6 linked regions of the Kluyveromyces lactis genome follow. The main gene of each other region encodes a partner of the protein of the gene in region 2 in a complex. Links are inferred from orthologs where the notes say so. Each region holds a gene or a part of one and is shown on either strand. Other genes may lie near its edges. The genes, in order: SAS3, EAF6, EAF1, PDP3, YNG2 and EPL1.

Region 1 (4,443 bases), about 1.2 Mb from region 2:
TAGAAACCAACAATGTTGCACCATTGCTATGTGGTGGTGCCACTGTGTATTCTCCATTGAAGAGAAATGGATGTGGCCCAGGTAAGAAAGTCGGTATCGTTGGTATCGGAGGTATTGGTCACATGGGTATTCTATTAGCCAAAGCCATGGGTGCCGAAGTGTACGCCATCTCTAGATCCCATGCCAAGGAGGAAACATCCAAGCAATTGGGTGCAGACCATTACATTGCCACTGAAGATGAAGGTTGGGAAACCAAGTATTTCGATACATTGGATTTCATGGTTCTATGTGGTAACTCATTGTCGGCCGTTGATTTCGGCAAGCTACCAAAGATTTTGAAAGCTCAAGGTGTTATTGCATCCATTTCTGTCCCTGATCAGCATGAAGCCATACATTTACATCCAGCGCAACTTCTAGGATTCCAGATTACTCAATCTTGTCTAGCATCTCGTGCAGAAATCATTGAAATGTTGAACTTGGTGGCTGAAAAGAAGATCAAACTATGGGTTGAAACGGTTCCAATCAGTGAGGAAAATATCTCCACAGTGTTCAAAAGAATGGAAAGCGGTGATGTTCGTTTCAGATTCACACTAACTGACTTTGATAAACAGTTTGACCAATTCAAAGCCAAGAAATAGGCGTTGAACTGTATAAATTATATAGATGGTTGACACGTTGTTCATAGCTTAAGTCACTTATATATACATACTATGACATAAACGTCAAAATGGAAACACACATAAAATACAACCTACAATTTATACACATTGCAAGGAACGGCTTTCATAAACACCAGAGGACGGTAAGGGTACAGTAAAGTGCATGAAATGCAGTCACTGTAGCCAAGGTTACCTTTCCAGTAACCGAAAATTTCTCGAAGAAGAGCAACAAGATCATGGGAAATATTTGCTAACTGAGCTGGTATGAAAGATACAAAAAAATACAGATATCACGTGACCATCAAGAAACCGAAATTTTTGATGCAGCAGTAACATGGATCTGTATTGTTTTGCTTCATTTCATAGGAGAAAGAATGATATAGGCAACCGGTTTTTGTAAATGTAAGACCTAGATTGCTTGCTGTTAGTTTCGTTTACTATAACTCGGACTTTGTGAGTTCTTGTGAGAATGTGTTTTTAGAATAGACATTCTTCTCTTCTAAAACTAGTAAAGGTACTATCCTCTCTATTTGTTTACCTTATATTGAAAGAAGAAATAATAATTCATCAAGTGGCAGTCATCGCATATTTAAGAATGACGACTTCTAAGCGAAATAGACTGCTGAAGGAACTTCTGATTGATGATAATATACATTCCAAAGTACAGGCTGATTTATGGGACGCTGGAGATGGTGGAGTACGACGGAAACGCACCAGAGATAGACATGACAAGTCGTCGGATCATATAGGCTATAACGGTGCTGATGATTCTGGGGTGCAACCGGAGAAGAATAAGGACAAGAAACTTAAAACGATTGTTATACCATCTGATTGGAATGAGATGAACAGCCATGTGCAATTTTCAGACGATCGTAGAATTATTACTATCAGGTATAATCCGTTGAAGTTGCTTGATTTCAATCAAGTGTTGAACAGAGGCAGCGATCTCGACGTAAAAGTACCGTCAATTCCGCTAAATGGCATTGACTTTGAGATATATGAAACTGAAAATTTGTTAACATCTCTTGATAACGATGCTCAGTTCCCTTATCGTGGCGCAATTGAAAATAAGCAGGATTATACAACTCATAGGACCATTCCTCGTGTCAAAGATAGAGAGTTTTTTCTAACTTTGCTGCGTAAGTCCCAAACAGCAGCTCGTTTCAATGGTAACACACTCCTGGCATTTCCAAATGATGAAGCTCATAATCAAGATAAGAAACGGTTAAAGCCAACAGCTTTGATGCATTCTGCGAAGACAACCAACGTGGAATATGTTTATTTCCAAAATTATGAGATCAAAACTTGGTATAAGGCTCCCTACCCTGAAGAGTATAACAAGAACGAAATTATCTATATTTGCGACAAGTGTTTGAAATATATGAGTTCAAAGTATGTCTATTATAGGCATCAGTTGAAATGTGATTATATCCACCCGCCAGGAAACCAAATTTATAGAGATATGGACCAAGGGTTCGCCATTTGGGAAGTAGACGGAAGAGAGAACGTTATTTATTGTCAGAATTTATGTTTACTAGCGAAACTTTTTTTAAATTCGAAAACTTTGTATTATGACGTGGAACCCTTTATGTTTTACACCATAACAGTATGGGAGGACGAAGAATGGAAATTTGTTGGATATTTTTCTAAGGAAAAGCTAAACTCAACTGGTTATAACCTAAGTTGTATTCTTACTTTACCACATTTTCAAAGGCGCGGTATCGGACATCTACTGATGGACTTTTCATATCTCTTATCAAGAAGGGAATTTAAACTAGGCACTCCCGAGAAACCTTTGAGTGATCTTGGTTTGGTATCTTATCGAATATACTGGAAAAATAAGATGGTGCAAACGCTTAATATGTTATTTGAAGAACTGGGTGATTCATTCGCTTGTACCATAGACGACTTGTCCAATCTAACCGGTATGAATCATTCGGATGTGATATTCGGCCTGGAACAGATTGGATGTCTATACAAATACAACGATGAAGCCTCAGGTAAATGCAAATATGCAGTGAAAGTAGAAGATTGGGATATCTTGTGTCAGTTATTTGAACAGTCTAGAGCGAAAATGAAATATACTTTGGACCCTTCCAGATTTGTTTGGAAGCATGTCATTTTCGGTCCTTCGTGTGGAATCAATGCCGTTGGAACCATGGTAGAAACAAATGTTAGCCAGCAAAGAATTACGTCTGCCGCTGGTTCAACAGCTGCTGATCCATTCAAACAAAGTATATCTGTTCTAACGAATTTTATGAGTGACGATTTGGCGGATCCAAGAACGATGGAAGAAGCTGCAATGGAAAAGATTAAGCAACAAACTATTCCTGTATCCTTGTCTGATAAATCTTTAGTTCGAGCATATACACTTCCAAGCAATATCAAGGAAAAAATCATTAAGGCAAGCAAAATAAAACCTGAATTCAAACAACTCAATACGAAGCTCGGGGGGACTATTCCAGCTCTCAATGAAGGTACACCTTCTGGCGATGCTTCTGATGCCAAAACACTGATCAGCGGAGGTATGCACGATGATATAAATGGCGATGAGCAAGAAATTGAGGAAGAGTTTGAAGAGGCAGACGGTTTAGAAGATGAAGGTTTCTCGCTAGATGATGCAGAAGCTGAGGAGTATTCAGATGATGATGAAGATGATGATCAAGTGCCACCGCCTCCAGAGGAAATAGCGACTCCTAGGGTCAGTAGATCTCTAAGAAAACTCAGACAGCACAATCCCGTAGAAAATGAAGTTCAGCAAAGACCACAGAGAGTCTTACGGAATAGAGTTTGAATATTAATTAAAGGATAACCTAATCATAGTAATGCGTGGCCATGACATGTGTTTATGAGAAGAAAACTGATAATAGTGTAATATCTAATATATGCATGTATATATGTATATGATTGTAAGAATAGCGAAAATTAATGCCATCATTGATATAGCAGTAAAATGTAAATAACAAAACAACGTAATAGTACGCACTTTTCATTTAAGTGTTTATGCAAAAGGAGCAGCCCGTGTCCCTTTGCTATAATAAACTGAATAGGGACATTATTATGACAAAAAATAACCATATGGTACAGTTCAAATGATTTGGCATAAAGATAACACTGTAACAGTATTATTGATGTTCTATTGTAGTTATAGTACTTGTACAATGGGGTCATAATCAGGAAAGTGTGTGCGTTTATGTGATAGTAAATCAACGACAATGATGATTGAAGTAGCAGCGACTGGCGCCACGATACACTTCGGGGTTCATGTTCATACATGTCTGAAAGTGGTTTGTAAAGTAGTTTTTTAAGTTTTTGGTTCTTGATAATGGTATTAATACAGACAGTTTATCATCAAACAATGTGCTTGAATATCGTATTCAAACTAGGCAGTGGCTGAGTTGGCACTTGCGGTAGTCGATGGTTTTGTGGTGGTTGAGGAGATTGCGATGAATTCGGAGTGAACTGGGGCGTTTGTTCATTACTAGCCTGTGTTTGAAGAATTTGCTTCGGTACGCTGGCAGGCATCCTATTGCCATAAAAAGATGAGTTGTTCACATCAGAAATAGTTGGAGAATGGTCTCTCAAGGAATGAGCGTCCGGTGAAAACACTGGCGATCTCTCACGAGCGGAAGAACCAGTCGAAGATGTTTGAGAAAACGTAGGAGATTCATCTCTTAGCTGAGTTGGGGCAATAGAGTCTTCCATGCGGCCAACAATCTCTACATCAACATCAACATCGTCAATGTCGTCATGCTCCTCTACGGCAGTATCTGGTGAGTAAGTA
Region 2 (2,880 bases):
CAATTGATGTCTAATCCGATTAAACGATCAACAATTGGGTACCTTTTCAAACGCTCCTAATCGACAGCAATTCACGATTCTGTCTTTGTTCTCATTGGTTTGTTTGAATGTGTAATTGCTGCTCTATCTTTTGTTATAATAATATCTAATTCTTTGAAGCTGAAAATTTCAAGGTTTTGGCAGTTTCTGAAAATTGATTGGCTGAGTGATACTCCAATTAACAATCAAGAATGGAGGTTAGAATTCATGCTAACCACACATACATACACCATTACATAGCACCTGAGTCTCATCTAAGACATTGGGACAATTCGGTTGGACTGGAAATCTGTAAACGATTCAATCCTTTGCTTCTACGAGTAGTTTGACGCAAGTTTTATTGATTAAACTGATTCTATGATCGTTGATCTGACGGATGAAAAGAAAAAGAGGCCTCTCAAAAATTAAGGGTAAGTAATTGAAAATACTTTAGGAAGAGAGAATACATAATGTTACAAAGTGATTAATTATCACGAGCATTTAAAGAGTGCTTCAAGAGAAATAGATGCGGGGTAAAATAATACCGTTTTTCTTCCCCCTCCCTTAGTTTCTCTTGTCTCTTGTCTCTTGTCTCTTGTGTCCGGTGTCCTGGACCTGGATATGTCTCAGTGAAGAGGGCAAACAGATAAGCTTCCTGTTCAATCATTGGACTTCGTTTGTTCTTGATGATTGGAAGCAGCCAATTGTTTTGCAAAAAGGTACGAACTTAATGAAAAAATGCGATCATTATCGTCCAATGGCTGGGCATTTGACGAATGTGAGTGGTCAGACAATATCTGCTGCGCAGAACTGCTCTTGTTGAAACCCTGAAACCCGAGCAGAATGTTCCCCATTCTGGAAGATGGTTTCTGTGATAGATACTCTGTTTCTTTATCGTATACCTCTTGCTCTAAACTATTCCACTTGGCTTCGAGTTGTTTCTTCTGTACTAAAGCATCTCGAAGCTTCTTCTTTAGTTTCTCGTATTCTTTCTTTTGTTCGTCCATAGTTGTGTGAGATGAGTGTTAGGTTATGTTAAATCACTTTACCGATAGAGTAGAACACAATCAAAACCAGATTCAAATCCGTTCGATAGCGGATCGTCTGTTTCATCCTTTCTTGTTATTATATATGCAAATTGGATGTTGAAGTAGTGCGTTCTTTCAAACAATATTAACATTGGCGACGAGTCCGGGTAACAGTACTGGAACTCAGTTTGGAATTTGAAATTCGAAGAACCGACGAAAAAAAAGCCAACATGTAAACATCAACATAAACAGTGTTATCAACTCTAGTATCCCGTTTAAGAGCCATAATTTTCCATTGATAGCAGTTATAATCGGCAAAAACAGGTAGCTGTTGAAGAAGTTAATCCTTATCTGCTTTTGAAAATTGAAGATCTTCTCTTTGTTCTGGTGCATATAGAGTGATTACGTTATATCTATTGCAAGTTCAAGATGCCGACCATGAAGAGTGTGGTGATACAGATCTCGCAGACTAGGGTTATTTGTGGGTTCAGCAACCAAGATTTGCCGCAGTTAATTGTACCATCTCAATATTTGGCCTATAAAAGAGATGGATCGGATGTTAAAGTTTTCGGTAAATGGGAAATGATAGAGCATTGCGACGATGAGAGCGCTGAAATATACCAATTGTACGATAAGAACGGACTTCCAAATGATTGGGATATGATGGATGCTCAATGGCAGTACATCTTTCAAAGCCTAGGCATACAGTTCGAAGACTATCCAGTATGTGTTGTCTTACCTTCCGACTTAAACAGTGCGCGTCGTAAGAGATTTATGGAACAACTGTTGGGGTACGGTTTTCCAATGGTCCAACTTTTGAATGAGGCTGTCTGCAACACGTTGAGTCAGGGAAGATCGAGTGGAATTGTGGTGGACATTGGCCACAGTGGAGTGAAAGTGGACGTTGTCATTGATGGTGTTCTTTTCAAACAATACCGCAAGGAGAACAAGATCGGTGGTGCATTCTTAAACTGGCAGATCTGCGATCAATATTTGAAGCAGGATTCGGGCAAATCAACGAAAATCTGGAGGGATGCCACTGAATGGCTACCCAACTTCAAGAATAGCATGCTGCAAGTTTCTCCGATTGAATTGGATGCTAATTATGACGTGGCTCCTCATTACCAACATATGGTGTCACCAATGGACTTGACCAAAAATTTCCTACTCGATAAGAAAACTCTCACCTTCACTAACAAACAGCTATACACCATTGGAGAACTCTTGTTCAAGCCAGTGATACACGTAAGTAACAATGCAAACGGAGATGTAGAAATGGCAGATGTCAATGACATAGAGAAAAAGCCACATCCGGAGAAATTAATTGGGGTCATTGGATTGATCAGAGCATGCATCCAAAGTTTATTAAATGGTGTCAATGCAATGTCCACCGCAGGCAGTAACACTACAGGGTCCTCCACTACGACGGGTAATGCTTCCTCGGGCAACCAAAGCAACAACAACGAGGATACGAACATCCCAACGCACAGCTACACTTCTGAACAACTACAAAGTCTACTGCTTACGAACATTCTAGTGACAGGAAGTACCTCGAACATTCAGGGTTTAGAGCAAAGAATATTGAATGACGTTTCAGTCTCCCTAAACGATCTAACCACAGTGAGGCCTAAGATCCTTTTCAAACAGACCAAATTAGACAGAAACTTCCAATCATGGCAATCTGCAACAACCTTATGCAGACTACCGTTGCGCGAATCGTTACATGCGTGGGAATCTATCGAATGAATGGCGATATCCACCTGCCCTACCTCTCACTCAACTGGCAGTATAAAAATATAATAATGTACGTACCGGATAATCTTCAAACCCAAGA
Region 3 (4,634 bases), about 1.3 Mb from region 2:
CATTGTCATAAATTACAGTTTTCCTTTGTTGATCAGACAATGGCAAGCTCCTGTAAATATTTTCAGCAGCCATTAGAGCAAGTTCTGGAGTGAAATTGGGTTTCTGAAAAAGTATTTTTTTGGCATATCCTTCAATGATTTCACGTTTATTAGCCGGTTTCGTATTTCTCTGTGTGGGAGTTTGAGTTGTAACCTTTTCTTTTTCACCTAGTGGTGGTGCACTCTGGGGAGTGGACTGCTTAGACCTAATTCTTGAATCCTTTGAGTTAGGATTATTTGCCATAGGCAAATTCGGACTTGATGCTGTAGTGAGAGGAAGCTTTCCTTGCTGCAATTGAGCCATCTGCATCCTTTGTTTGGCAGCACGTTTTATTTGCATATCCCTTCTCAAGGCCTCATCACGCTGAGCTTTTAAGTCTGACATTTCTTGAGGGGTTGGAACACTCATATTCTTAACATCAAAAGGTTTACGCGGCTGCGAAGGATTTGGTCTGGGTGCGTTTTCTCTTTTTTTAATGCACTTTCTCATTGCCTCAAACATACTTGCCCAGCGTAAACGCCTATGTCCTCGTTGTATGGATTCCGATCCCACACCAAGGGGAGATATTCTCCTTTTTTGCTGCTGCTGTAATTTATGAGCTTCGTACAACCATATTTGTGCATTATGAGCCTTTGGACCCTTCATATCTGCAATGTTGAACTTTTCGTTTAGTTGAACGAACCGCTCAAAGCATTGCCAAGGGGTTCTACGTTCGATGTTTGAAACATATTCTCTTTTGTGATGATTGGACATCTGAGAACTAATGAGGTCCCAGTTATAGGCATACTGGTTTATATTTTTGACAAGCTCCTGATCATCTTCAGGTAACCAGATGGTGGGTGTACGAAATTTCAAATAGCGTAATGATGGCGCATTAGGAGGGCGAAGATAATGGCTACGTCTATTTCCATAAAACATACCACGTCGTTTTGATAAAGGAACTAGAGATGGTTCTTCGTCAACAAATTGCTTTTCTACTAATTTCATGAAATGGTCCTCGTCAAGAGGAGAAATTGCCTTTGAAACCGGTTCAAAGGGCAATGGTCTGCTAGAATCGAGATTCTTTTCGTCCAAAAGACCATACAAAGGGAGTGAGTTTGAAATGGCTGCTCCCAGTGTTGATAATTCCTTTATATCAATGTAATTCCTGAAGGGAGAGGATGATTTCTTAGCTAAATAAACTTCCATGGAGGTAACCGGAAGAGATGGAGCGACGATTTCATCTTTGGGGTTAACTCTCTTTAGTAACTTTTGTATGTCTATGGTAGGCTCTTCAGATGAGTTTTTATCAGTTTCCTTGTCCCCCTCTTTGATACCATTTTCAGACTTCTCTTCCACCGCTTCACTCCCATCAGTTAAACCGGTACTTGATTTTACACCATCCTCTGACATCTCCACATCTTCAGCAATTTTAGAAGACCCATCATCGTTGGATTGATCAGGACTTGTGTTTGATTCTTTATCTTTTTGTTCTGGCTCAACTGTACTGATTTTTGTTCCCATATCTTGGGAGGAAGCAATATCTTCTATGTCCTTTGATGGCGGTGGAATACTTTTACAATTGATACAGCATACTTTACCATAAGTCCAAAATTCCATAACTGCCTGTGCCATTTGAGTGCACATGGCTATCTTATAATTCAACGATTCACGGAAGTCTTCACGCATCCATTTTGCTTCTTCAATCAACACATTATGATGAGTTACAGGTTGTGAAGCGGTAACGGGATCGATAAATTTTCTTGGTTGTCTAAGTGACCAGAGATTCAGCCTTCTCAATTCCTCTATCCTTGATGCTACTACAGTGATTCGTCTTTCATTCAATGCAGTATTAATCAGATCAGTCGTCAATGCTTTTTGAGATTGTGGTATCAATCTCAGCAAGGGCAAAGTCTGGGATAAGTATTTGATTTCTTGAATGGGCATACCCTTTGCCAACTTGGTTGGCGCGTTCTCTTTCGTAATCATGTATACCGCCTCTTTCACATTTATGTCATCTTCGAAAAACGTCTTACGCTCTTCCTTTGATACATTGTTGATAATAGATTCTATAATATAGGGTTGAGGTTCTTTCACCCCAATTGGTGTTGGGTCAGCATGCAATTGTGAGATGTCTATCATCTGAGAATAAGGATGAGGCGGAATTTCCATTGTTGCAGCGTTACGTGCAGCGGTAGAATTAGATAGGTTTCCACTATCAAGCCGTTGCCTTTTACTTATTTGATTTTCGGAAATATCTTGTTGTTCCTCATCTAACAAACGCTTTCCAGAAGTACTTGGCTTTGATTGGGTCTCCGGATATTGGACAGATTTCGGTTCCATATGTGCCTGAACTACCACAGGAGGAACATTATTATGTGTTATCGGCAGCTTCTGTGTGGGAGACACCGATCGCTGCTTTTGCAGTTGTTGCTGCTGCAGCTGTCGAGATGACTGCGCTTGCACCATAGATTGCCTTGAACTTTGCTGAATTGACTGCTGTGACTGAACTCGTGGAACTACCCTTGTTTGAGACTGCGGGAGTGTCTGCGTATCCACATCATGTTCCTCGCTTCCACTTGGCGACACGTCTTTCGACCGCTGTTTCTTCAATTCTCGTTTCACTTCTGACGGTGAAGAACTCTTACTCCTGTTATTCAGCTTCCTATCTGACGACACGTCTCTCGGCCTAAACTTAGGCAATGCATTAATATCTATAGGCTTGTCCTTGATCAAGGTATGTTGATCTAAAAACTTTTCTATCTCCTTCCCTATTCTCTCATGATTCTCCACGTTTTTTAACTCGGTAATTTGTGAGATACAGTACAATTGTACTAGCAAGTGCCGTCTCTCCTCTAAGAGCTGCTCTGGGCTCTTACTTCCAGTAGCATTCCCTTTGCTTGCACTGCTCATCGCCTTGAAATCCTTACTTTCTATTAGATGTTCTGTGAATATCTGTCACGTTGAAAAAATATAACTTTCGGTCTGAATGGCAAGTGATAGGAAAATATCCAAAAAAAAAAAAAGGAAACTGGGTCCTCTGATTTTTCTTTTAGCGAGGGCTTGTCTCGGAAACAGCACGCTTCTGTACAAACAACAGGATCGTCCAACCAAACAAGGCTTTTCTGTGTCAGGTACTTTTGAAACTGAGTCGAATAGTGTTCTCACGGTCCTGTTCTGTTACCGTATTACGGCTTGTTTTCTCGATTTCTACTATATAAGTACGTATTTCATGTTGTTCAGCAATTTTTTTGTTCCTTGAAAGATTTTTTTTTCTTTTGGGAGGCCGAAATCATGTAAGGAGGGTAACTAAAGATCAGGTCACGTGCGTTAATTGTTGGGTTCCCAGAACGGGATTAATCCACATACCATCATCACCTTCCTCAATGTAACTACTGAACATTTACATCACTCACCAGGTCTTGATGGCCGCATCTAGATCTTCGATGGATTTAATTAGTCCAGCATGGTCCAAAACCATGTACGATGTAATAAGACCCTTTCTCGCCTCGGAATCCACATGGACTTTGGCTAGCTTTTCAAGGAAACGATCTTCTTCATGGAAATAGTCTACTTCGTTTGTTTGTCTTACCTTCTTGCGGACAGCTTGGTTCGATGTTAGATCGTCTTCGTCCATATCAAAATTCACTTCGTACTTCCTTGAAACGATTAGGTAGAAATCATAGTTTTTATCATCCCCAAGCGCAAGCTTCACATCTTCTAATGTGATAGTGTACAATGGCGGCACAACTTCTGGTGGCATATTAATCAATCTTTCACTCAAGACTAACGAACAAGTCTTCTCCGATTGATCTATAGTTTGTAGGAAAGTAGCTAGCTTGGGGTCAACTTTACGAAGATATTTGGCATAATCACTATCTTTGTTGGCCTTGTAATCGATAAATGATAGGAAACAGTATGGGTCAGACTCCTTACCATCGGTTTTGATGGTAGTAGTTGGTGAGTCCAAGATTAAATTTGCCAATTCACTTAGTTGAATTCTGTTCGATTCCTGTGGTCCAAACAACTGACGCATCAGATTCTTCAAAGCATGGAAATCAACGTCGGGATTACCATTGAAGAAATCAAAATCGATGTTGATGATTTCTTGTTCCTCTTGACCGTTTTCTTGGTCTGAAATATTTGAGTCTGTACTTGATATGTCAAGATCAGATTCCTCATCGACTGCACGTTTCTTGGATAATGCACTTAATTTAACAACCTGGACCATTGCAGACTAAAATAGAGTGTTGTTGCTGGTTTAATAAAGCCCAACTAATAACTATTGTTTATCTCTTTGAAACTTCCTCGAATCTATTCTAAAGTAGTGATGAGCTCGCCAAATGCAGGTTTGCATCAAATTTAAAGAATAGTTTCTTTTCGAAAAGGTAAAGATGACATGCGATGCTGTCAAGAATGTAAAAATGAAAGGGATAATTAAAATATCAATCAGCGAGTCCCTTGTCAGTTGTTATCGTGTACAGCGAATTGCTATTACGGTAATCCTAAGTTTTATCTTTTAGAAGACTGCAGTAGGGGAGTCATGGTTCATCTAGAAGCACGTGATCATATTTAAGATACCTCTGGGAACATATCACTAGCGACTCGAAGTGCA
Region 4 (3,275 bases), on a different chromosome or scaffold from region 2:
GCAAAGATAACATAATGACTATTGGAGCCTTCTTCATGAAAGGCTTTATGAGGAAGCACATATGTGTAGTTCATCAATGAAACATTAGGAATGCAGTCTTTAGAAGCTGTGGCTAAATGAACATATTTGGATGTTTTAAGCAAAGATACTAAATGCTCTGGCAAATCAACGGTAGTGGACATAACAACTTGAAAGTTATTGAAGTAATACTTGGCGTATTTGATAAACAATAAAAATTTACAGGAAATATAATTAAAATATCGGTTCCCTAATGTGCTAGCTTATGGGAAAGATGTCTGATGTTTGTAATGAAGTGCACAATTTTGCTACCTTAAAGTCATTTTAAAGGTTTTGGCAATTTTGTTAATAATAACAATTGATGGGGAACAGAGCGATAAACGTAAATAATGATACATTATGATTGAAGGGTCCAAGAAAAGAAGGAATAGGTACGGTGAGGTAACTGGAGAGGTGGTAGGGATGAGATTATGTAGGTTAATGTGATAGATTTTACATGAGAATAATGTCAGAATTGAATTGAATTTGTTATAAAGCAGTAATGCATTGTTTGTGCTTTCCTTTTGAACGGTTCTTTTGTGCTCTTATTATGAATCGAAGATATTAAAAGTGACAGTTGTGATCCACTCTATGGGGATAGCGAACCCTTCAGTTTCAGTTTTTCCTTTTTGATCTTTTGAACATGAGGTGCCCACACTTCCAATATAGTGTTACAAGATTCGTGAAACTGTGATAATTCAGGCATACTAGAAATGACTTTTAATAGTTTATGCAATTTGGATACCCTAAGGGCTTCTAAATCAAAGAATTCCGGTGTTGATTTAGTATGTGATAGGATTTTCCTCATGAGTTTATCAGACTCGGCAAGATCTGCATCTGTTGGTGGGGTATCTCGTTGAACCAAACACTTCTGTAATTTGTTACGGAATATTTGAGCAATCTCTACCCTACGTGAGTAGTCAAGCTTACTGCGTTTCTTGGGAGGTTCTTCTGGTACGAATGAAGGAGATGTCGAGAGAGATTCTGATGAGCTTTCCCTCTTCTTCTTGAAATCTGAAACAGATGTTGCGACAGGTGTAGATACCGGTGAGTCTCTATTTTTGTTTCCACTACTGGGCGACTTTTTAGCTTTGGTACTTCCGTTACTGTTATTATTGGAGGTAGAATCCTCTGATTCGCTTTCATTTCTTCTTCTGCCCCGTCTTTTATCCGTAGATTTAGTGTCTTCCAGTTTTAACTCAATATTGGAAAGTAATGGGTCCTCTCCCATCTTAACTTCAGCGATAGTTTCCAAATCATCCGCTCTTCCCTCCGCTGTCAACCTGTCTTCGACAAACTCTTGCAAACTCGTATAGTCGGATGCAAACTGGTAAGCTTTCTTCAACTCTTTCGAAGACCTTTTGGGCGGCGATTTTATCCACGCTTCTATATTTTCCTCAGTAAGAAGTTTTAACTGTTTTGGTTTAGTCCAATAATAGGTAGAATCGTTAAAAAATGCCACAGCAACTTGACCAACGTTCTCCTTCGCCTTCAGCACACTCTTACTCAATATCCGTTGAGGAACAACTACAGCTGGCCATGGTTCGTAACTGCCCACGGTGCAAAGAACCAGGTCACCAGTAACTAAAAGCCCGTCTGTCATATTTTGCTTAAATAGATTGTGTATTCGGATTGGTAAAATCTGTAAGTATAATGGAAAGGAAACTAAAACCCTAAATGTCAGGGCGTAAAGATCAAATAGTAAACTCTGATATCTCTCTTTCTCAGTTTCTTGAGCACTCAATAGGTAAACACAAATAACGGTTTCGACAGAAAGAATGCTAAACGCTAGAATAGAAGCTTTAAAATCTTACGCTCTAACTTCGCACTGGCAACACAAATAGCAAAGGAAAGAAGAGGCCGTATAACAGAATTAACTTGACCTCCTTCCCTAAATGAACTGAGATGAAAACGAAAACAAAACTCTTAAGCTACCAGTAATCACTTTTCTCACACACAACACCACAGTAATAGCTGCGTGTGTTCTGACCAGTGAAAGACTGTTTGGACGAAATATGAATGGGAACTTCGGCAATCAAAATTCCATATCAACTGCTCAAGAAGCATATATTGAATATAATTTGAAATAATTGATTGTTTTGTTTTGGATAAAAAAAAAGCTTTAAGGTCGGAAAATGGAATAAGTAATTAGGAATTAAAGGCATACGTATTTAGAAGGGTAACTTTACAAGATCAATGAACGCACATTAGCAGTTGACGAATGCGTTTTTGCCGGATTGTGCAACTAGTTTGTGGTTCGAGTTAATATGAATAAGGAGGTATTTACAATTTAGTGACGTCTGTTGGGAGCTTACGTTTTGGACCCTTAGAACGTACCTTTGTTAGCATTTTCTTTGTCTTCGCATTCAATGCGTCAGATGATGAGTTTGCAGATGATGCAGTTGACGACGCCAATGCCGATAGAGAGGCCTGACTACTGTTGATTGTTTTAATCAGTTGCTTTTGGAACTTTGAGCCATGCTTTTGTAGGCTCTTTAATGATGAAGAGGATTTCTTTTCAATTTCCGATTCCGTTGAGGATCTCAAAAGAGCTTGCCTCTTTGCCATCGCTTCAGGTATTTCTTCTACAGAACTGATAGAAGAAGGAGGTTTGTTCAGTTTAGACTTGGCTTTAACTGCTTCTGGAGTGATATCACGACGAGATGGTGCTGTGTGGGTCTTACGTAGCGATTTTCTTACAGCGAAAAATTCGTTTTGTTCGTCATATTCGTCATCGTCATCATCATTGCTGTTGTAAGCATCGTCATCAGATGGTAACGAAGGTCTTGATGATCTCACTTTAGGGTTTCTAAGTTCAGATTTTTTTGCAGGTTTCTTTGGTGCAACTTTACCGTTCTTTTTACCGTTGCATTTGGACTCTTCGTCGGTGGTACCCTGAGACAATCTAATTTTTTGGAAAACCTCGGAGAATTCGTCCACTGGATCAGTGTCGATGATGTTGTACTTGGCGGTAGAAGCCTTGCTAGAGTCCTTGCTAGAGTCCTTGCTAGAATTTCTTTTCTTTGGTGGAGGCGGAACTGCCTTTTTCGCCTTTCTTTGTGCAGCAACCGTTTCGGCGATATCATCGTGATCCTTGAAATTCCTGGAAGAGAAGACAGGTCCGGATTCGTTTAAATCGATCTCGTCATCGGATTCATCTTCAAACGATTTTTTGACCTTCCCATTCTTTGCACTCTTCTTTTTCTTTTTATCGGAGT
Region 5 (3,484 bases), on a different chromosome or scaffold from region 2:
ATCTTCTTCTTTCATGCTGCCCACATCTTGAAATACCTGCGGTACTGAACCTCGACTAGTTACTGATATTAGCGACCCACGTCTCCTGTTGGGACCGCCTGCACCACTACCGCCAGCACCACCTGCATATGCTCTATCATGGAAGTCTTGTTGCAATTGCTGTCTGACCCGGTGCATAAAGTCGTCATATGCTATTACATCCGCTTGTTCTGAGGTCCCATTCTCAAGGTCCTCATCTTCGTCGTTCTCACTGTTCTGCGATGATGAGAACCTTCTCTCGTGCTCCTCTAAGAGCCAATCAAGATTTTGTTGTGATACGTTGCTTGGTTCTGATACCCTCGAGGGCAATGACACCGTCCGACTTAAGGGTTCTCCGTCCTCATCGTACTCATCTATATCTTCCAAAACTTCGTCTAAATCGTCGTAAACAGACGGTTCTCTAACACTGCTTCCAAAATCCTCATCCAAAGTGTGATAACTACCTTGCTCATCTGGATGCAACCCTCGCCTCAACCCACGATGTCTGCGTTTCCTTAAATACTTCCGTAATAACGGATTCTTCTTGTCTCTGCTCACTAAATCGAACCCTAGCGAAATGCGTCTATGGTTAGTTGCAATACCAATACCATTTGTTCGAAGCTTCGGATGAACCTGAGACAACGTCTTTCCAAATAGTGTAGCCATGTTGCCTATTGGTGCGCTTTCAGAGACCACTATTTCGATAGCTTTCGCCTGTTTTTCTGCATCTCTTCACAAAGAGCACAAGATGTCAAAGTCGAATATAGAATAAGAATCGAATAAATGCTAATTATAATAATACATTACATGATAGAATTGAAAATATTTACATATGAGGATATATATATATATATACGAGCGGCAGGAGTGAAGAAATGTGAAGACCATGAATGGGTCATACCAACCTTCGTTGATCATTGCTTCTTCTTCTTCTTATTTAGTTTCTGATTAGCAATTTCCAGTCGACATTCTGGACAATACCACTGACCCTTTGGAGGTTCCGTTAAGTTGACACAACTGTAATGGAACCATTCGTATTTACAGTTTGGACCATCGCACGCCACCATCTCACCGTATGATACTCTTTGGCAGAAACAGTACAACTGCTTGTCGTCTTCTTCGCCGCCTTGGTTCATCTTGAACAAATCATCGTTATATGCCAAAGCATCGAAAGTCGGATCTCTACCGATACCAGCGTTAGGACTCACGTCACGAGACACTGTTCCTGCACGCTGATGAGACCTAGATCTCTCTTTCTTCTGCTGTTTTCTCTTCTGTCCTTTCCCGTTCGCTGATGATGAAGAGGCTGGCCGTTTCCTACCAGAACTGGAACCTGATCCAGCCGTTCCGTTACCAAGGCCAGCGATTCCAGCTCCTAAATCAACAGATCCAGCCTTCTTATCCGAAAGCTCATCATCCAAGGGTGCAAGTAACCCATCTTCCTCAAGTGACTCGATGTTGGCCTTGATCTTGCTCAAATGTTTCGTTACTAGATACAATGCTGTATTGGCTAATATGCATTTCTGTTGTTGCAAATCGCCGCATCGCTTCATCTCTTTTTCTACCGTCTCAGTAATGGATCCCTCTTTAGGGTCCTTGGTCAACGAACCATGCTGTTTCACAAGTTTATGAAGCACGTAATCCTCCCGTAGGTACTGCTCTCTTGAGCTCACCAGGGTTTTATCTGCTACCTGCATTTCATCCATGATATGATGGAACTCTGATTTCAAGTTCGCAACATCCTGTGTAGCTTGCTCCAACGCACTCGAAGGGTCCTGTGGTCGTTCGTTAATGCTACTCATTCTTCCATACAGCCTTCCAAAATGCTAACTGCGCCTGCCTAGCGTTCTTTGTACAGCTTCTTCTCTTACATACGTATCTTTGCTATTTCAATGGAAAATTGTTTGCCAGATTGCTTTAAAGCTTTCCCTGGCTTTAAAGGCTTTGAAATAGAAAAAGTCATGATAAAGGGACATGGTTTGGTACTTCACAAACATGTTTCCATTAGTTTTTGGGAGTATTTATTATTCAGAAAAGCTAGTCCTGGCATATGAGCTTATTTGAACTCTGTTAAAGACCGAATTTACCACGATTATAGGCGACGACAGTTTCTTTTGTTAACTTTACCTTGAATCTAAACCATGGTGTTCTATTCATTTATTCTACGCAAGATTTCCAACAAGATATTTGGCGACATTAAGATTGGTGAGGGTGAGGATCCGTACTATGAGGAAGTTACTTTTGTGAAGAAGTCGTTTTGGACTGGAAATAGCCAAGTTGTGCATAAGAAGCTAAAGAAAGCAATTCCAGATTATGTCCCATTAAATGACAGAACAGTGTTGCAACGGGTTAGGAAAAGAGCTTACAGGCTTGATATGATGTTTAAGATATTTGGGATGAGAGTTGGATGGCTCGGTATCATTGGACTTTTGCCAGTGGTCGGTGACCTAATATGTTTGTACTTGTCATGGACAGTGTTCCATGAAGCACAGAAGATTCAAGGTGGTTTGCCTGTGCCCTTGCAGGCAGAGCTCTTGGGGAACATCTGTATCGATTTCCTATTAGGGTTGATTCCCATTGTTGGTGATATCGTTGGGATTGCTTATAAGGCAAATTCCAGGAACACACTTGCATTGGAACAATACTTGAGAAAGAAATACGGTGGTGAAACCATTGCCGCATCTCCTGTAGAATTAGGTTCTGTCTCCCCAGGAAGGGACCCAGACTTGGTAAAAGGCTTGAAACAGACATAAGCGAGAAGCCGTTTGTGCTAATGTACAATTATTATCCTGTTAAGAAAAGTTATATATATATATACATACTCATACCGCTATGTATAATGCTAAATCCCAGTTTTATATTATCCTAGAACACACCCGGTAGCTTCTCAATCACATAGGAGTGTCCTCCAACACTCATCAATGGGATCCCCGGCACTTTCCTCACTCTCTGCTTTAAACCAGCATCGTTCGTGGCAACAATGTAACACTTGTGCTGCAACACTCTATGAACAATACAGTCATCCGCATAAGTACCCTTATGCGAACAACTTAGCCTCTTGATTCGCGGATCACGAGCTAGCTTCAACGCTATACGATACTTGGGACCCAACTTCTCTAATTCAGCCATCACACAGTCTGTTATCAATATGTTACACTTGGCCAAAAGACAATCCATCATACCTTTCACTATGTCAATCTTCTTTTGAATAGAGAAATTGATGAAATTTGTATCGATGAGTACCTGATATGGAGGCTTGATAGCTTCATTATATTGGAAGAACAATGCACTGGATACTTGTGGAATGTTTTTAGTCAACTCAGGATCATCTTTCTTAACCTCTTTTGCCTGGTTCGATTTGAGTCTTGAATCCTTCTTTGCATTCAATGTCCGCTTCACAAGCGCAAACTTTCTGGTCTTCTTAGCCTTACCCATGACACACACTAATATTACTCTCCCTAATACC
Region 6 (4,544 bases), on a different chromosome or scaffold from region 2:
GTAGTGTAAGCATTAATCTTGCCACTATTCCTCCCATGGAATGCCCCAATAAAATGACAGATTTAGGTAGTGGGCGGTTGGATTCCTTATAGGCAGCGCTTTGAGCATACATTGACAAGATATATCGTACTGCATCGTTCAAGTATACAGCCTGATCCAGCATTGTTTGCCCATGAAAGGCAGTGAAATCCTCATTGAAATCGGCTGTGAAATAATCCATGTTCTTTGCATTGGAATTTTGAATAGTTGATTTATGGTCAAAGTATAAATTGGCACTTGCCGCAGCTATAGATCTAGCTTGTTTGAAACTTCCTGCATTGCCGGGAATAAAAAGGACAGGTATACCATCAAGCTGTATTTCATCACCATGTTTCGGCTCTTTATCTTTACCTTGTTCTCTGTATAGGTAGAGGTGGTATTTTTTGGCGAGTTTAGTGTGTCTTGAATCAAATCCATCAATTCTGGCGTACGAAGGGTACATATAGATTGATCTGCATTTAGGTGTATCTGATCCGCTGAAATTATGAGATATATGAGTGGAGGTAATAATGCATAGCAGAAGCAAGCCCACTATGATTACAAGCGTGCTTCTTTTCCTTAGTTTCTTCGTCAATGTAGGATACCTGATGCGAACAGCAGACTCAGCCGGTAAGTCAATTTGGACCATTTTAACAACTGGCTTGGTAAACCACTACCAGTATCCTAGGTATTATTCTAAATTTAGTGTTCCTAGTGAATGCACTATTCTGGGCATAGTTCATCAATCAATGCTTGCAATGGTACATAATGTTAGATGCAAGATGCCGATTTTAGATGCGTAAACCAAAAAAAAAAGAAGCTGAAGTCAGTTCAGTCACGTGATGTATAATGCAGCTCACGATGCTTAATAACATGAATTATCTATATTGTTACAGATTCGCATAAGAATGCGGAAAATACTAATTACAAGTTCATATTTATAATGGGATTTGGTGTCATCAAAAGTTTACAATTTCGTTATGCAGCAGCGTTAGGAGTAACGTGTTTCTTTGGCGGACTGGACTGATTTGGAGTTGATCCTGGATTCTTCCTAGTGTCCTGATGAGATGGTGGGGAAGAGGACTGTGAATGAGGAGCATTGTTAATGGGCTGTTGACCCTTTTGTAGCATTTGCTGTTGTTGCAGGGAATTCAGTTTCTTTCTTTTGTTGATTTGTTCCTGTCTATATTTGATGGTGGCATCTCTTAGTTGCTCGTATGCTTTGGATCCTAACATGGTTCCAAATCTTACCACCTGAGTATCGTTTGAAATTTGGTTCAACTTCGCCGGTTCGTCGGAAAACTTGGACCCGTAAATGTTGTAATTGGAATCATATTTCCAGTGATAATATGACCTGGATAAATCATCCAGTTTAGAATCATACACATTTATAACATCATTATCGAGTTCTTGCTTCTGTATTCCATCCAAATCAATAAATTGTAATAACATGTCGTTAATATTGTGATCAGTTTTTCTTTGGTCAATATATTCCATATTGAAACGACCGCGACGGCGTCTGAAAGCGATTGGAAATTCACGAGAATGAGTATGAATCTCGTTATCAAATGGATTGAAAAATTCTAACTTTTTATACTCATTGTTCTCCACAGCTTCACCTTCCTTGTTAAAAACCTTTATATCATTCGCAGTGCCAGTGATATAATTTTGAAGATTAGGTGAATAGTAGGATGTTTTTACTTCGAACTTTGAGCCAGCAACAGAAGAAAATGGAGCATCTTGGGGGCTGACGTTATCTGGTATTGAAAGGTTGAAAACAGGATTGTAAGGATCATCAGTGAGGTTGAAAAAGATGTCACCATCTTCCTGTTTCCTTTTTCTCATCCTGTCTTCAACAAATTTCCTTGTGCTTTTTTCCTTTGAATGCAACAATTTACCGACATCTTCTAACACGATATCAGGTATCTTAGAGTTAGGCAATTTAACATATACTTGAGAAGATGCCTGTTTTTGCTGTTGTTGTACATTCGAGACATTGGCAACAGGCGACTGAGCTCCAATTTCCTGCGCAGATGACAGTGATTGTTCTTTGTTTTTATTTGAACCAGTTTTTGGGCCTTTCTTCTTTGGCTCGCTTCCTTTCTCATCAGCATATAGACCACTGTCTTCTTTGTGAAGTTTCGACGATTTTGAAGATTTTGCACGTTTAACAGATGAATCTGAAGTAATGGCTGCCTGCTGCTGTTGTAGTTGCTGTTGTTGCTGCTGTTGTATCTGTAGCTGTTTTTGAAGAAGAAGTTGTTGTTGTTGTTTGATTGTACGCACCGAACTCACGAGTTTTTGTTTCTTTGCCGAGTACAAATCCTCGTTATCGGCATCTATGCCTAACTTTCTCTTCATTGTCTTCAATTGGGCTCGCGCTTGGAAGACGAACTTTTCGTTTTCTAGGACTTCTAATACTGCTCTTTCTCTTTTGGCTACAGTGAGTGCCAAATCTTTAGTATATTCCAATTGTTGGCATAGAAGTCGCAATTTTTGTGAGTTCTGAACATCTATCCGCCTTGTTTTCCTAGGTTGTCGAAGCTCTCTCCTACGGAAACACACATATGGATCATTATCGTCTTTATCATTATTACGCTCCGATTTCAATTGTGGGAAGATATCGCAACCATGACGTGATATCTTGCGTTGCTTCCAATGATCGTGTATTTTCTCTCCGAACAATTCGATAAGAGTCTCCATATTTTTTTCCCTTTTACCTAGAGGTCTTTTATTGTCAAACATTGTCAAGAATGGTTCATCTTCAGGCATCCCAATTTCCTTCGCGAGTTCCTTTTTTACGCCAGAATCACCAACATCGTTTTTCAACATGGTTGGTTTTAGGTCTGCAAATGAAAGTATACTCTCGGGATCCATGGACAGGAAGGGTTGCCTATCTTTGATGGAAGACTCAAAGTTGGCCATAATTAATTCAAACTCATCTTCCGTTAGAGGTTCGACCGAATCCGCCAGGGATTTATTTAAATCTGCCAAAAAGATTTCGTCTTCTTCATCCATATTATACAAAGTACCACAGCAATCTTCTAATTGTGCAGAAAACTGGATATAACTCGTAGGACATTTGAATTCACCTTGGTAAAATCTGTCAAACTCGTCCCAAGTTTTCGAGGCGTCTGGTGTTGGAATAAATAGATCCTTCTTGTTCTCTCGAAGCTGATTGGATTGAAGAATTTTGTATAAATGCTCTTCCTTTTCTTCATTCTTCTCCACACCAGTTTCAATCTCCATCAGCTCTCGCTGTTGATGCTGGGAACTGATGGCCGAAACATCTTCTTGTTCCAAATCCTTAATTTCATGGCTCTTATAGATCCGAAGTCGTTGCTTCACGCTGATCTTTCTGTGCCTGAACCTCGATGAATCCACTGCAGGAGCTGGCATACTGCAATGTGTCAATGCCCGTGTGTAGTTACCCTGATAGCTATGCGGCTGAAGCCAAAGAAGGATCTTTGAATTCCAGATTTCAATAGCGAGAAATATGAAAGGAAGGGTAACTACAATTATCCCTCTAAAAAATTGGTTCTTTTACGGGGGCCCAAATTTATTTTCTTCCTGTTTTCGGGGCCAAATTTTGCGAAAAACTTCACTGGCAAGCAATCGGGTGGCGGTGAAGGAGGCAGAAAACAAGGAGACCAAATCTAAAATAGGACTGAAGATAGCAGCTATTGGTACGGATTTTGCAGAACTGATGAAAGTCCTTAAGTATCACTACTGATGGTTGATTCTCAGTAGGTTTGAACGAGCCACCGGACTGTTCTGAAGCGCGTGGTTTTCCTTTTTATGTTGGTTGTTTGGGTGGAACGCAACAGTTTGTCCGGTGAATGGGGGTATTGGTTTTTTCTATATTGAAATCCGAACTTATGGAAAGAAAAAAAAATTTTTTACGTCTTCTACGGAAATATGAACGTCTCCCATAACCACCTTGGTAGACAATAGGAATTTCTGTTCACGTGACTTCCATTGGGTCAAGGTAAATGGTGATGCCAAAAATTGTATGAGCTTCTACCAAAAAGAAAAAAAAACGGAAATCAGTAACTTGACATCCGTAATGAAGTCATCTCATCGCTTGTTGAAAGAGTGAGTTATCTGAGGCAGGTAAAGAGGCTGAGAAAATCAGTCTTAGTCGTGAAACGCAATGGAAACAGCAGAAGGTGGGGCTTCTTTTGCCGAGTTAATGGATACTGTCAAAGGTACCATAGATAATTTGGTAAACAAAAGAACCTTCTTAAAGGAACAGCAGCCGTTGTATGAACAGATATTCGATAGGATAAGAGATGCTGACACGAGCGAAGATTCGGAAGAAGAATGGCAGTATGGTGAGGTAGTATTTCAGAATGGTAAGTTTTTCCAAAATATAGGTTACGATTACTATTTGGAGAAATCTAGGGAAGAATGCCTGGTTTTTATAAAGGTTCGATTGAACTTAATTGCCGAAGCCATTTCACAATTTGATGAGAAACTGAAAGAGGCACATGGCACATTGCGAAACATGGAGTTACTTCGAGACG

The links.
Region 1: EAF6 (region 2) and SAS3 share a complex: the UniProt entries of both Saccharomyces cerevisiae proteins name them as parts of the nuA3 histone acetyltransferase (HAT) complex. The link is inferred for Kluyveromyces lactis from reciprocal best matches to the Saccharomyces cerevisiae genes EAF6 and SAS3.
Region 3: EAF6 (region 2) and EAF1 share a complex: the UniProt entries of both Saccharomyces cerevisiae proteins name them as parts of the nuA4 histone acetyltransferase complex. The link is inferred for Kluyveromyces lactis from reciprocal best matches to the Saccharomyces cerevisiae genes EAF6 and EAF1.
Region 4: EAF6 (region 2) and PDP3 share a complex: the UniProt entries of both Saccharomyces cerevisiae proteins name them as parts of the nuA3 histone acetyltransferase (HAT) complex. The link is inferred for Kluyveromyces lactis from reciprocal best matches to the Saccharomyces cerevisiae genes EAF6 and PDP3.
Region 5: the proteins of EAF6 (region 2) and YNG2 are in contact, whole or in part, in a crystal structure (PDB 5J9T), measured with the Saccharomyces cerevisiae proteins. The link is inferred for Kluyveromyces lactis from reciprocal best matches to the Saccharomyces cerevisiae genes EAF6 and YNG2. Residues at the interface, in NP_012615.3 of Saccharomyces cerevisiae: Ile69, Ile70, Gly72, Phe73, Asp74, Asp92, Ile94, Phe95, Leu97, Ser98, Ser99, Ala100, Thr101, Lys104; in NP_011958.1 of Saccharomyces cerevisiae: Ile11, Val14, Leu17, Pro18, Phe21, Arg22, Leu25, Ile28, Gly29, Asp32, Leu33, Ile36, Lys40.
Region 6: the proteins of EAF6 (region 2) and EPL1 are in contact, whole or in part, in a crystal structure (PDB 5J9U), measured with the Saccharomyces cerevisiae proteins. The link is inferred for Kluyveromyces lactis from reciprocal best matches to the Saccharomyces cerevisiae genes EAF6 and EPL1. Residues at the interface, in NP_012615.3 of Saccharomyces cerevisiae: Glu4, Leu5, Ser7, Tyr8, Leu11, Lys12, Glu14, Leu15, Lys16, Ser18, Leu19, Asp21, Arg22, Arg23, Gln25, Glu26, Thr28, Phe29, Asp30, Leu32, Gln33, Glu35, Ile36, Lys39, Glu40, Tyr43, Phe44, Tyr65, Gly67, Asn68; in NP_116629.1 of Saccharomyces cerevisiae: Arg333, Ala336, Leu337, Glu340, Leu341, Asn343, Ala344, Asp346, Leu347, Ala348, Leu350, Val351, Lys353, Arg354, Val357, Ser358, Asn360, Trp361, Asp364, Glu365, Lys367, Ile368, Gln371, Arg372, Lys374, Ile375, Leu378, Lys379, Ser381, Leu382.

Annotation. Positions count from the first base shown.
Region 1 is NC_006041.1:1,770,524-1,774,966, forward strand, and holds SAS3 (histone acetyltransferase), read left to right. Parts: upstream 1-1,254; coding exon 1,255-3,453; downstream 3,454-4,443. Other genes in the region: KLLA0_E19889g (NAD(P)-dependent alcohol dehydrogenase), read left to right, coding at 1-638; KLLA0_E19933g (SANT/Myb-like DNA-binding domain-containing protein), read right to left, coding at 4,011-4,443. UniProt on the Saccharomyces cerevisiae protein: Catalytic component of the NuA3 histone acetyltransferase complex, that acetylates H3K14. The NuA3 HAT complex has 2 functionally distinct forms.
Region 2 is NC_006041.1:567,221-570,100, reverse strand, and holds EAF6 (Eaf6p), read right to left. Parts: upstream 1,026-2,880; coding exon 678-1,025; downstream 1-677. Other genes in the region: ARP7 (Arp7p), read left to right, coding at 1,476-2,792. UniProt on the Saccharomyces cerevisiae protein: Component of the NuA4 histone acetyltransferase complex which is involved in transcriptional activation of selected genes principally by acetylation of nucleosomal histone H4 and H2A. The NuA4 complex is also involved in DNA repair.
Region 3 is NC_006041.1:1,912,547-1,917,180, reverse strand, and holds the start of EAF1 (Eaf1p), read right to left. Parts: upstream 2,933-4,634; coding exon 1-2,932. Other genes in the region: protein-transporting protein BCP1, read right to left, coding at 3,432-4,250. UniProt on the Saccharomyces cerevisiae protein: Component of the NuA4 histone acetyltransferase complex which is involved in transcriptional activation of selected genes principally by acetylation of nucleosomal histone H4 and H2A. The NuA4 complex is also involved in DNA repair.
Region 4 is NC_006038.1:945,500-948,774, reverse strand, and holds PDP3 (Pdp3p), read right to left. Parts: upstream 1,661-3,275; coding exon 647-1,660; downstream 1-646. Other genes in the region: KLLA0_B10824g (pyridoxal 5'-phosphate synthase), read right to left, coding at 1-182; BSP1 (Bsp1p), read right to left, coding at 2,341-3,275. UniProt on the Saccharomyces cerevisiae protein: Histone-binding component of the NuA3b histone acetyltransferase complex. Targets the NuA3b HAT complex via histone H3K36me3 to the coding regions of actively transcribed genes to coordinate transcription elongation.
Region 5 is NC_006037.1:629,640-633,123, forward strand, and holds YNG2 (histone acetyltransferase YNG2), read right to left. Parts: upstream 1,821-3,484; coding exon 933-1,820; downstream 1-932. Other genes in the region: KLLA0_A06952g (uncharacterized protein), read right to left, coding at 1-684; KLLA0_A06996g (DUF4112 domain-containing protein), read left to right, coding at 2,160-2,771; rRNA-processing protein FCF1, read right to left, coding at 2,884-3,453. UniProt on the Saccharomyces cerevisiae protein: Component of the NuA4 histone acetyltransferase complex which is involved in transcriptional activation of selected genes principally by acetylation of nucleosomal histone H4 and H2A. The NuA4 complex is also involved in DNA repair.
Region 6 is NC_006042.1:2,337,215-2,341,758, forward strand, and holds EPL1 (Epl1p), read right to left. Parts: upstream 3,418-4,544; coding exon 997-3,417; downstream 1-996. Other genes in the region: BST1 (Bst1p), read right to left, coding at 1-667; BUD27 (prefoldin-like protein), read left to right, coding at 4,172-4,544.